Linked DNA regions of Saccharomyces cerevisiae S288C. The protein of the gene in region 2 binds, or shares a complex with, the protein of the main gene of each other region. Each region holds a gene or a part of one and is shown on either strand. Other genes may lie near its edges. A codon is read from its position in the direction of its gene.

Region 1 (2,945 bases), on a different chromosome or scaffold from region 2:
TATACCCTTTACCCTTGGGATCTCTTGCCCTTCCCACAGATTGATGAAAATGTTCTATTGACTCATTCCCTTTATAACATGGAAAATGTAAACATGTATTATCCCAACTTACGTTCTTTGCAGAGTGCCACAGAGTCAATACTGGTTGATGATATGGTCAATTCGTTGCAGAGCTTGATTTTTGAAACTAATAGTATCATAACAAATGTTGTGTCGATAGGTAATCTGTCTAAGAGATGTAGCCATCTTTTGAAGAAACGAATCGATGAGCATCAAACAGAGAATGATTTATTCATCAAGGGTACGCTTTATGGTGAACGAACCAACTGTGGACTAGAAATGGACTTGATTATCTTGGAAAGGAATACCGATCCTATAACGCCATTGTTGACACAACTTACGTATGCAGGAATACTAGATGATCTATATGAATTCAATTCTGGCATAAAGATAAAGGAGAAAGACATGAACTTCAATTATAAGGAAGATAAAATATGGAATGATTTGAAATTTTTAAATTTTGGGTCGATTGGGCCGCAGTTAAATAAATTGGCAAAGGAACTACAAACGCAATATGATACAAGGCATAAAGCCGAGAGCGTACATGAAATCAAAGAATTCGTTGATTCCTTAGGTTCTTTGCAACAAAGGCAAGCTTTTTTGAAAAATCACACAACCTTATCATCCGACGTTTTGAAAGTGGTAGAGACTGAAGAGTACGGATCTTTCAATAAAATCTTAGAGTTAGAGCTGGAAATTTTGATGGGAAATACACTTAATAACGACATTGAAGATATTATACTCGAGTTGCAGTACCAGTACGAGGTTGATCAAAAGAAGATTCTCAGATTAATCTGTTTATTGTCTCTTTGTAAAAATTCACTTCGAGAAAAGGATTATGAATATCTAAGAACCTTTATGATCGACTCTTGGGGCATTGAAAAATGCTTTCAACTTGAATCATTGGCTGAGTTAGGATTTTTCACTAGCAAAACGGGAAAAACTGATTTGCATATTACAACAAGTAAGTCAACAAGATTACAGAAAGAATACCGTTATATTTCACAATGGTTCAATACAGTACCCATAGAAGACGAGCATGCTGCCGATAAAATCACAAATGAGAACGATGACTTCTCGGAAGCCACTTTTGCTTACAGTGGTGTAGTGCCCTTGACAATGAGACTGGTTCAGATGTTATATGATAGGTCTATCTTGTTCCATAATTATTCCTCGCAGCAGCCTTTTATACTGTCAAGAGAACCTAGAGTTTCTCAAACGGAGGATTTAATTGAACAGTTATATGGAGACTCACATGCGATCGAAGAGAGTATATGGGTCCCGGGAACCATTACAAAAAAGATCAATGCAAGCATCAAGAGCAATAATAGACGGTCCATAGACGGATCTAATGGGACATTTCATGCTGCAGAGGATATTGCACTCGTAGTATTCCTCGGAGGTGTAACAATGGGTGAAATAGCTATAATGAAGCATTTGCAAAAAATACTAGGTAAAAAAGGTATCAATAAAAGGTTTATCATCATCGCCGATGGCTTGATCAATGGCACAAGGATCATGAACTCTATATCTTAATTATTATATGATAGATTTGTTAATTTTTTGTATATGCAAATGTGCTTTTTTTCACCAAACGGTTTGCACCAATCATACGAGAGAAGTGTTCGGTGTTTACGGAAAAGCTAGGGGACTAAGAAAAATTGAAAATAAAGGCTGACAGCAGTAGAAACCATTGTGCTGGCTTAGTGATTTATAAGAATGGTTAATTAGTTTTGTATCCTTTAATTTTCTAGATAGAGCCACAGAGCAAACTAAACAGAAAAGTTATCCATTTCCATTACGCAATGTTGTGCCAACAGATGATTAGAACGACAGCTAAGAGAAGTAGCAATATCATGACCAGACCTATTATCATGAAGAGGTCAGTACACTTCAAAGACGGTGTGTATGAAAATATCCCATTCAAAGTCAAAGGAAGAAAGACACCTTACGCCTTATCTCATTTCGGGTTCTTCGCTATTGGATTTGCTGTTCCATTTGTTGCCTGCTATGTTCAATTGAAAAAGTCAGGTGCTTTTTAAAACACCCCCATAAGTTTGAAGGATAGATGTGTGTACATAGCGTGCTTGGTTGAGACGTTTTAGAGTGTGTTCTTTGCTATTCCTAGGTGCGCATATCATCGTTTTATTTATTTGTACAATTTTCTTTTCATATATTCATAATCCTCTCCTTGTGCCTTCGTATTGAGACGGCGGGAAAGAAGGATCTAAGAAGAACATAATTCGACAAATTTCTTCTAAAATAATACCATATATAGTAACACATAAGAAAATAGAATAACTTTTATAATACAGTAACATACTCTATCTATTCTGAAGGCTGTTTTCGTCACGGGGAATCCTTACACCTATTTACCTAATCCTTCTAAACTTATTGTTTTTCTTGCTACTACCCAACACAGTATTACTTGAGCGAGGTGGCAGATGATTATCACTCTTCAAATGTGTATTAGTCAGTTGCTGAGTTGAATTGGACCGCTTTAGTATATTTGATTTCGGCAGTTTACTTTGTTGCAATGAGTTCGATGAAGATGAAAAGGCAAGACCACTGCTTCTTACGTGTGAGCTCAAGTTGTGTGTTATTCTATTCGAACCGCTGATAGTATTATTTCTCTTCCTTGTTATTTTTAATTTTTCTAAAGCTGAGGGAAACTGCGTCGAGGTACTTGTTAAAGGTGTATTTGAATGATGCAATTCTTTGAGGTTACTATTTGGTAAAATAAGCCTATTTGATGATGAAGATAGAGGCGAAGAGGGTTGGAGAGAAGCTGAAGATAATCTTGATATATTTTTGGAAGATACAGAGCCATTATTCGTGAGGATGTCAAGATTTGGCAACTTTCCATCGAAGCCTTTTGCAACACG
Region 2 (5,110 bases):
GGTTTCCCCTTTCGGACAATCCCGTATTTCTTAATTTTCCATTTGAACTCGTACAGCCCTCCAAATGTCAACTTTTACTTAAAGCTAATGATTCATTTTTGGTTAACTCGTGTACCTCTTCTTCCAATACATAAGCATGAATCACAATCCCCAAGTGGGAAGGAGTTAATGAGAACCCTAAACATTCTTTACAGGAATTCGTTAACCTAGCCATCGGACAGTTCTTACCTTGCGCTGGCTGTTTTACTCCAGCGCTTTTATGGCATGCTATTGTCCCCGTTGAGTTGGCCCCAACTGGGTAAGCCATATGGTTTACGTATCTAAATACTATGTATGTTACTACTAATAATCAGAACCAAAATGATACGGTAAAGTTTTCATTAATTGAATAAACAGAGATATGTTTATCAATTAACACTTCAATACAGTGATAAATTAAGCGAAACGGCGCACAGAAAATCATTAATACAGCATGACCAACTACTAAAAATGAAATAGCAAATTAACCTATGTTGCCACGTGTTAAAGAGCCTTTCCCAAACCGTACGTGATAGTTTCCCATCATACGGCTTTCCATATTGAGTATCATTAATAATAGATTTTATATACCAGGTCCTATATTTTTAAATTTATTTTTATGTGTTTTAATATGACATTGTTTACATAATGGAATTTGTTTTCTGTTTATGGTAATTATTCTACCTAGAATATAATCTTTAAGTGCTTTTAATATACCTCTATGTAATTGTTTAACATGATGTATTTCTACATCAATAGTTGAATTACAAATACTACAAGGTTTATTAAAATTAGCTTTAGCTGTAGGTAATATATATTTAATTGAATCGATATATTCAAAAGGATCAGTTACTTTAGCTTCTGATATATATATAAATATACCATGATTTTCAATTTTTTTGATATTATCAAAAGTATTTCTTGGAAAATTGGCAATTAATTTATCATTTTCAATAATATTTAAATTATAACCAAATTTTTTAATAGTTTTACTTATTGTTTTTAATCTATATTTACTAGCTAAAGTTAATACACATGAATAATATAATACGTAATAGATTCTTTCTCTTAATCTTTTATAATTAGTAGCTAATTTATAATAATTTAAGATACCTCTACCTAACGCTTTATAATTATTAATAATTGTTCTAGGTTCTTCATATAGTCATCTACCTACTCTTGTAGGCACTCCTATTCTACCATTTTTATTATGCTTACAATATCCATTAGTAGCTAATTTATTGATAATATCTCTAATTGGTGCATTAATAATAGGTCTAGTTGTATTTCTACTTCTAATAAGTTTACCTCTAATTAGTTTAGTAACTGTAGGTATTCTTTTTAAAGGTGTAATTGAAATATTATAACCTAAAAATCTTGCTGGTAGTTCAGTTGCACAAGTAATTAAAGTTTTTTCTTCATTTATAGTTAAACCTAATGAATTTAAAAAATTGTTTAAATCTCTTTTGATTATTTTACAATCATTTTTTGAACCTAATACCCCAATTAAAATATCATCTGCATATCTAACGTATTTTATTCTCTTGAAATTAGGATCATTATAAATAAATAGTGGGCCTTTAGCTCTTTCTTTATGTAATTTTAATCTTGTCGAAAATATTTTAGCTTTTGCAATTATTCTTGATAATTTTTTATATGTAGGATGTTGTTTTTTAACTTTACCTTTATTATATAAATTAATATAATCTTCTAATCAATTATCTACCAATGTTATTACAATATTACATAAGATAGGACTAATTAATGATCCTTGAGGTAAACCTAATATAGGTTTATGATAAGTTCCTTTCTCATCAATATAACCAGCTCTTAATAATTTATATACTAAATCAATAAAACCTTTATCTGAAATATATCTTTTTAATTCTTTAATAATTAAATCATGAGAAATTGTATCAAAACATTTTTTTAAGTCTACTTCAATAAATCAATTACTTCCACCAAATATATTTCTAACTTCTCAAATTGCTGTTTGACAACTTATATTCTTTCTAAAACCATGTGAATGTGTTGATATCTTTTTATCAAAAATTGTATCTAAAATTATTCTTATAACTTCTTGTACAATTTTATCTCTTGGATTACCTACACTTAAAGGTCTTATACCACCTTTAGGTTTAGGAATATTAACTATTCTCATGGGTTTAAATTTGAATTTACCTGTTCCTAATTCATTTGATAATTTATTTAAATATATTATATTTATACCATCTAATGTTTCTAATGTTGTACCTGGAGTTATATTACCAGGTTTACTCTTAATTCTATTATATGCTAATATTAATATATCTACGTTTTTTATAATACTTAATAAATTATTATTTATATTTTCCTCATTTATATTATCTATTACTAATTTCTCAAATTCTAACAAGTCCGAAGTACTTGTATCTTTTGATAACTCAATATTGGTATCCTTCCCTATTTTTAAATTATTATTTACTGAATAGTATCTAACTTGATTTAAAAATCTCATTTTTATTTGAGTATTCGGTACTACTATACCTCTGTCAACTCCAGAGTTTCCTCTTTCAGTTGATCCCTCACTTTTCGTATTTCCTTTTGTGTTATTTAGGTCCTTCATCTTTTTCACACTGCCTGTGCTATCTAAAACAATGAATCATAATCTGATTACCTCAACGTAAAATAATCAAACTTGTTTTACTATATCCAAATGATAAGAGGAAATTGTAATCCTGATAAAGACTTGTAAGAAGTTCGTTAACCTAACCATGTAACACTTAACTCCACCTACACTAATCATAGGTGTTTTATGACATGCTATTGTCCCCGTAAAGTTAGCCCCTACTGAGTTAGTCATATGTTTTAAGTATCTATTGATGATTCATAATACTAATGCTAGACGCATCAACGAAATATACGCACTGAGAGGCGCACCATTAAATAATTGTGAATTACCATGTAAATATTGTGAACCAGGTGCAGCTAATTCTAATCTAATGATTAAAGACATTGCTGTTCCTGCCATACCACTAAAAATAGCTAACATAAAATATAATACTGCAATATCTTTTGCATTTGTTGAATATAATCATCTTTGTACCATTTTTACTTTTTTTTTATATATTAATTTTAATAATATTATTATTATTATATTCATTAAAAAAAAAAATTAATTAAATTTAATTTAATTTAATTTAAATAATTATTGTTATATCTTAAAGGATAATAATATATTATTCTATTTATAAATATAACAATAGTTGAATTTATAATATTAATTATTAATGAATACTATATAATATTTTAGTTATAACTTTAAACAATTCTTTTATATCTTTATAAATAAATATTATTATATTATAAAGTAATAGTATAATTAATTTTTATATATATATTATTTATATAAATGTATCATAATCTATAATATAATATATATATATATATTAAAATCATTTAAATTATATAACATATATATATATTTAATGATATTAATACTCTCTTTCATAATCTATATTATTAATATTATTTATATAAAATATTAATAATATTATTATTATATCTATTACTTATATCAATACTTATTATTTAATATTATATATTACTTTTTACTCATTACAAAATACCAACTAAACCGAACTAATATAAATATATTATTTAATATATTGATTTTTTTATTATTTATTACTTAATAATAAAATAAATTATATAAAAATATTATTATCTATATATTATATATATATTTATATATATATATATTTTTTATATTATATTATATTATATATATATTATTTACATTCTTTATTATATTTATATATATTATTATTCTTTATTATAAATAAGAAATTATTTAATTTATATTTTTATGATAATATTTAAAGATTTATTAATTAAATTATTCATAATATATTAAATAATATTAATCTTATATATATAAATAATTAATATTGATTATTATTATTATTATTATATATATAAATAAATATTGATAAAAATAATATTTAATATAGAGTATTATATTTTATATAATTAATATATATATATATATATATTGTTATATATATTAAAAAAGTAATGTAGTTATATTTTTAGTATTAAATATATAAGTCCCGGTTTCTTACGAAACCGGGACCTCGGAGACGTAATAGGGGGAGGGGGTGGGTGATAAGAACCAAACTATTCAATAAATATAGAGCACACATTAGTTAAATGTATTAATATAATCAATAAATATATTATAATAATATAATATATTATATAATATAAATAAAGGTATTAACGAAATAATAAATTGTATAATATAAATTATAAATAAATAATTAAAATAAATTTAATAAAATAATAAATAAAAACAAGAAGATATCCGGGTCCCATGATAAATTATTATTGAAAATAATAATTGGGACCCCACCACTATAATAAAATATTAATGAATATAATTATAATATATATAAAAATATATATAATAATATTTATATATAATATATATATATATATATAGAAATATAAATTATTATATAAAAATATAATTCTCCTCCGGCGTCCGCCCCGCGGGGCGGGCCGGACTATTTATTATTATATTTTAATAATAAATAAATAAAAATAATAATAATAGTTCCGGGGCCCGGCCACGGGAGCCGGAACCCCGGAAGGAGAAATATAAAAGTATAAATTATATAAAAAGCATATTAATTAATTAATTCTTATAAGAATTACAATTAATTGATATTATATGCCAAATACCAATTAATTAATTAATTAAATTGAAATTAATATATATATAATTATATAAATAATAATATAATAAAAAATAAAATACTTATTATTATTATAAAAATAAGTTATAATATAAAAATATTAATTATTTATTTATTTATTTATTTTATAAAAAAAAATAAATATATATTTATAATATCTTAATATAATTATAATTATTAAAATATTTATATATATTTATATATTTATATTATAATGAATATAAAAACTTTTTATTAATTAGTAAGAAATGAATATTTATATTATAATATAAATATGTATTTATTAATATTAGAACATATCAATAATTATTATTATAATTATTATTAGTCCAAATAAAAATAAAAATAAAATA

What was found.
Region 1: the proteins of COX1 (region 2) and COX8 are in contact, whole or in part, in a cryo-EM structure (PDB 6T0B), measured with the Saccharomyces cerevisiae proteins. Residues at the interface, in NP_009305.1 of Saccharomyces cerevisiae: Met1 (codon at 3,106), Gln3 (codon at 3,100), Arg4 (codon at 3,097), Trp5, Val16 (codon at 3,061), Leu17 (codon at 3,058), Met20 (codon at 3,049), Ile23 (codon at 3,040), Phe24 (codon at 3,037), Met27 (codon at 3,028), Ala28 (codon at 3,025), Ala31 (codon at 3,016), Met32 (codon at 3,013), Leu34 (codon at 3,007), Ile35 (codon at 3,004), Leu48 (codon at 2,965), His49 (codon at 2,962), Asn51 (codon at 2,956), Leu54 (codon at 2,947), Leu58 (codon at 487), Thr117, Leu118, Val119, Glu120, Ser121, Gly122, Leu401, Gly402, Leu403, Phe466; in NP_013499.1 of Saccharomyces cerevisiae: Val28 (codon at 1,947), His29 (codon at 1,950), Phe30 (codon at 1,953), Lys31 (codon at 1,956), Asp32 (codon at 1,959), Gly33 (codon at 1,962), Val34 (codon at 1,965), Tyr35 (codon at 1,968), Glu36 (codon at 1,971), Asn37 (codon at 1,974), Ile38 (codon at 1,977), Pro39 (codon at 1,980), Phe40 (codon at 1,983), Val42 (codon at 1,989), Lys43 (codon at 1,992), Tyr49 (codon at 2,010), Ala50 (codon at 2,013), His53 (codon at 2,022), Phe54 (codon at 2,025), Phe56 (codon at 2,031), Phe57 (codon at 2,034), Ile59 (codon at 2,040), Gly60 (codon at 2,043), Phe61 (codon at 2,046), Val63 (codon at 2,052), Pro64 (codon at 2,055), Phe65 (codon at 2,058), Ala67 (codon at 2,064), Cys68 (codon at 2,067), Val70 (codon at 2,073).

What each region holds. Positions count from the first base shown.
Region 1 is NC_001144.5:908,886-911,830, reverse strand, and holds COX8 (cytochrome c oxidase subunit VIII), read left to right. Parts: upstream 1-1,865; coding exon 1,866-2,102; downstream 2,103-2,945. Other genes in the region: tethering complex ATP-binding subunit VPS33, read left to right, coding at 1-1,596; SUMO ligase CST9, read right to left, coding at 2,433-2,945. UniProt on the Saccharomyces cerevisiae protein: Component of the cytochrome c oxidase, the last enzyme in the mitochondrial electron transport chain which drives oxidative phosphorylation.
Region 2 is NC_001224.1:11,814-16,923, reverse strand, and holds the start of COX1 (cytochrome c oxidase subunit 1), read right to left. Parts: upstream 3,107-5,110; coding exon 2,938-3,106; coding exon of another isoform or gene 602-2,937; intron 490-601; coding exon 454-489; coding exon of another isoform or gene 1-453. Other genes in the region: intron-encoded reverse transcriptase aI1, read right to left, coding at 602-3,106; intron-encoded DNA endonuclease aI3, read right to left, coding at 454-489, 2,938-3,106; intron-encoded DNA endonuclease aI4, read right to left, coding at 454-489, 2,938-3,106; AI5_ALPHA (intron-encoded DNA endonuclease aI5 alpha), read right to left, coding at 454-489, 2,938-3,106; intron-encoded reverse transcriptase aI2, read right to left, coding at 1-489, 2,938-3,106. UniProt on the Saccharomyces cerevisiae protein: Component of the cytochrome c oxidase, the last enzyme in the mitochondrial electron transport chain which drives oxidative phosphorylation.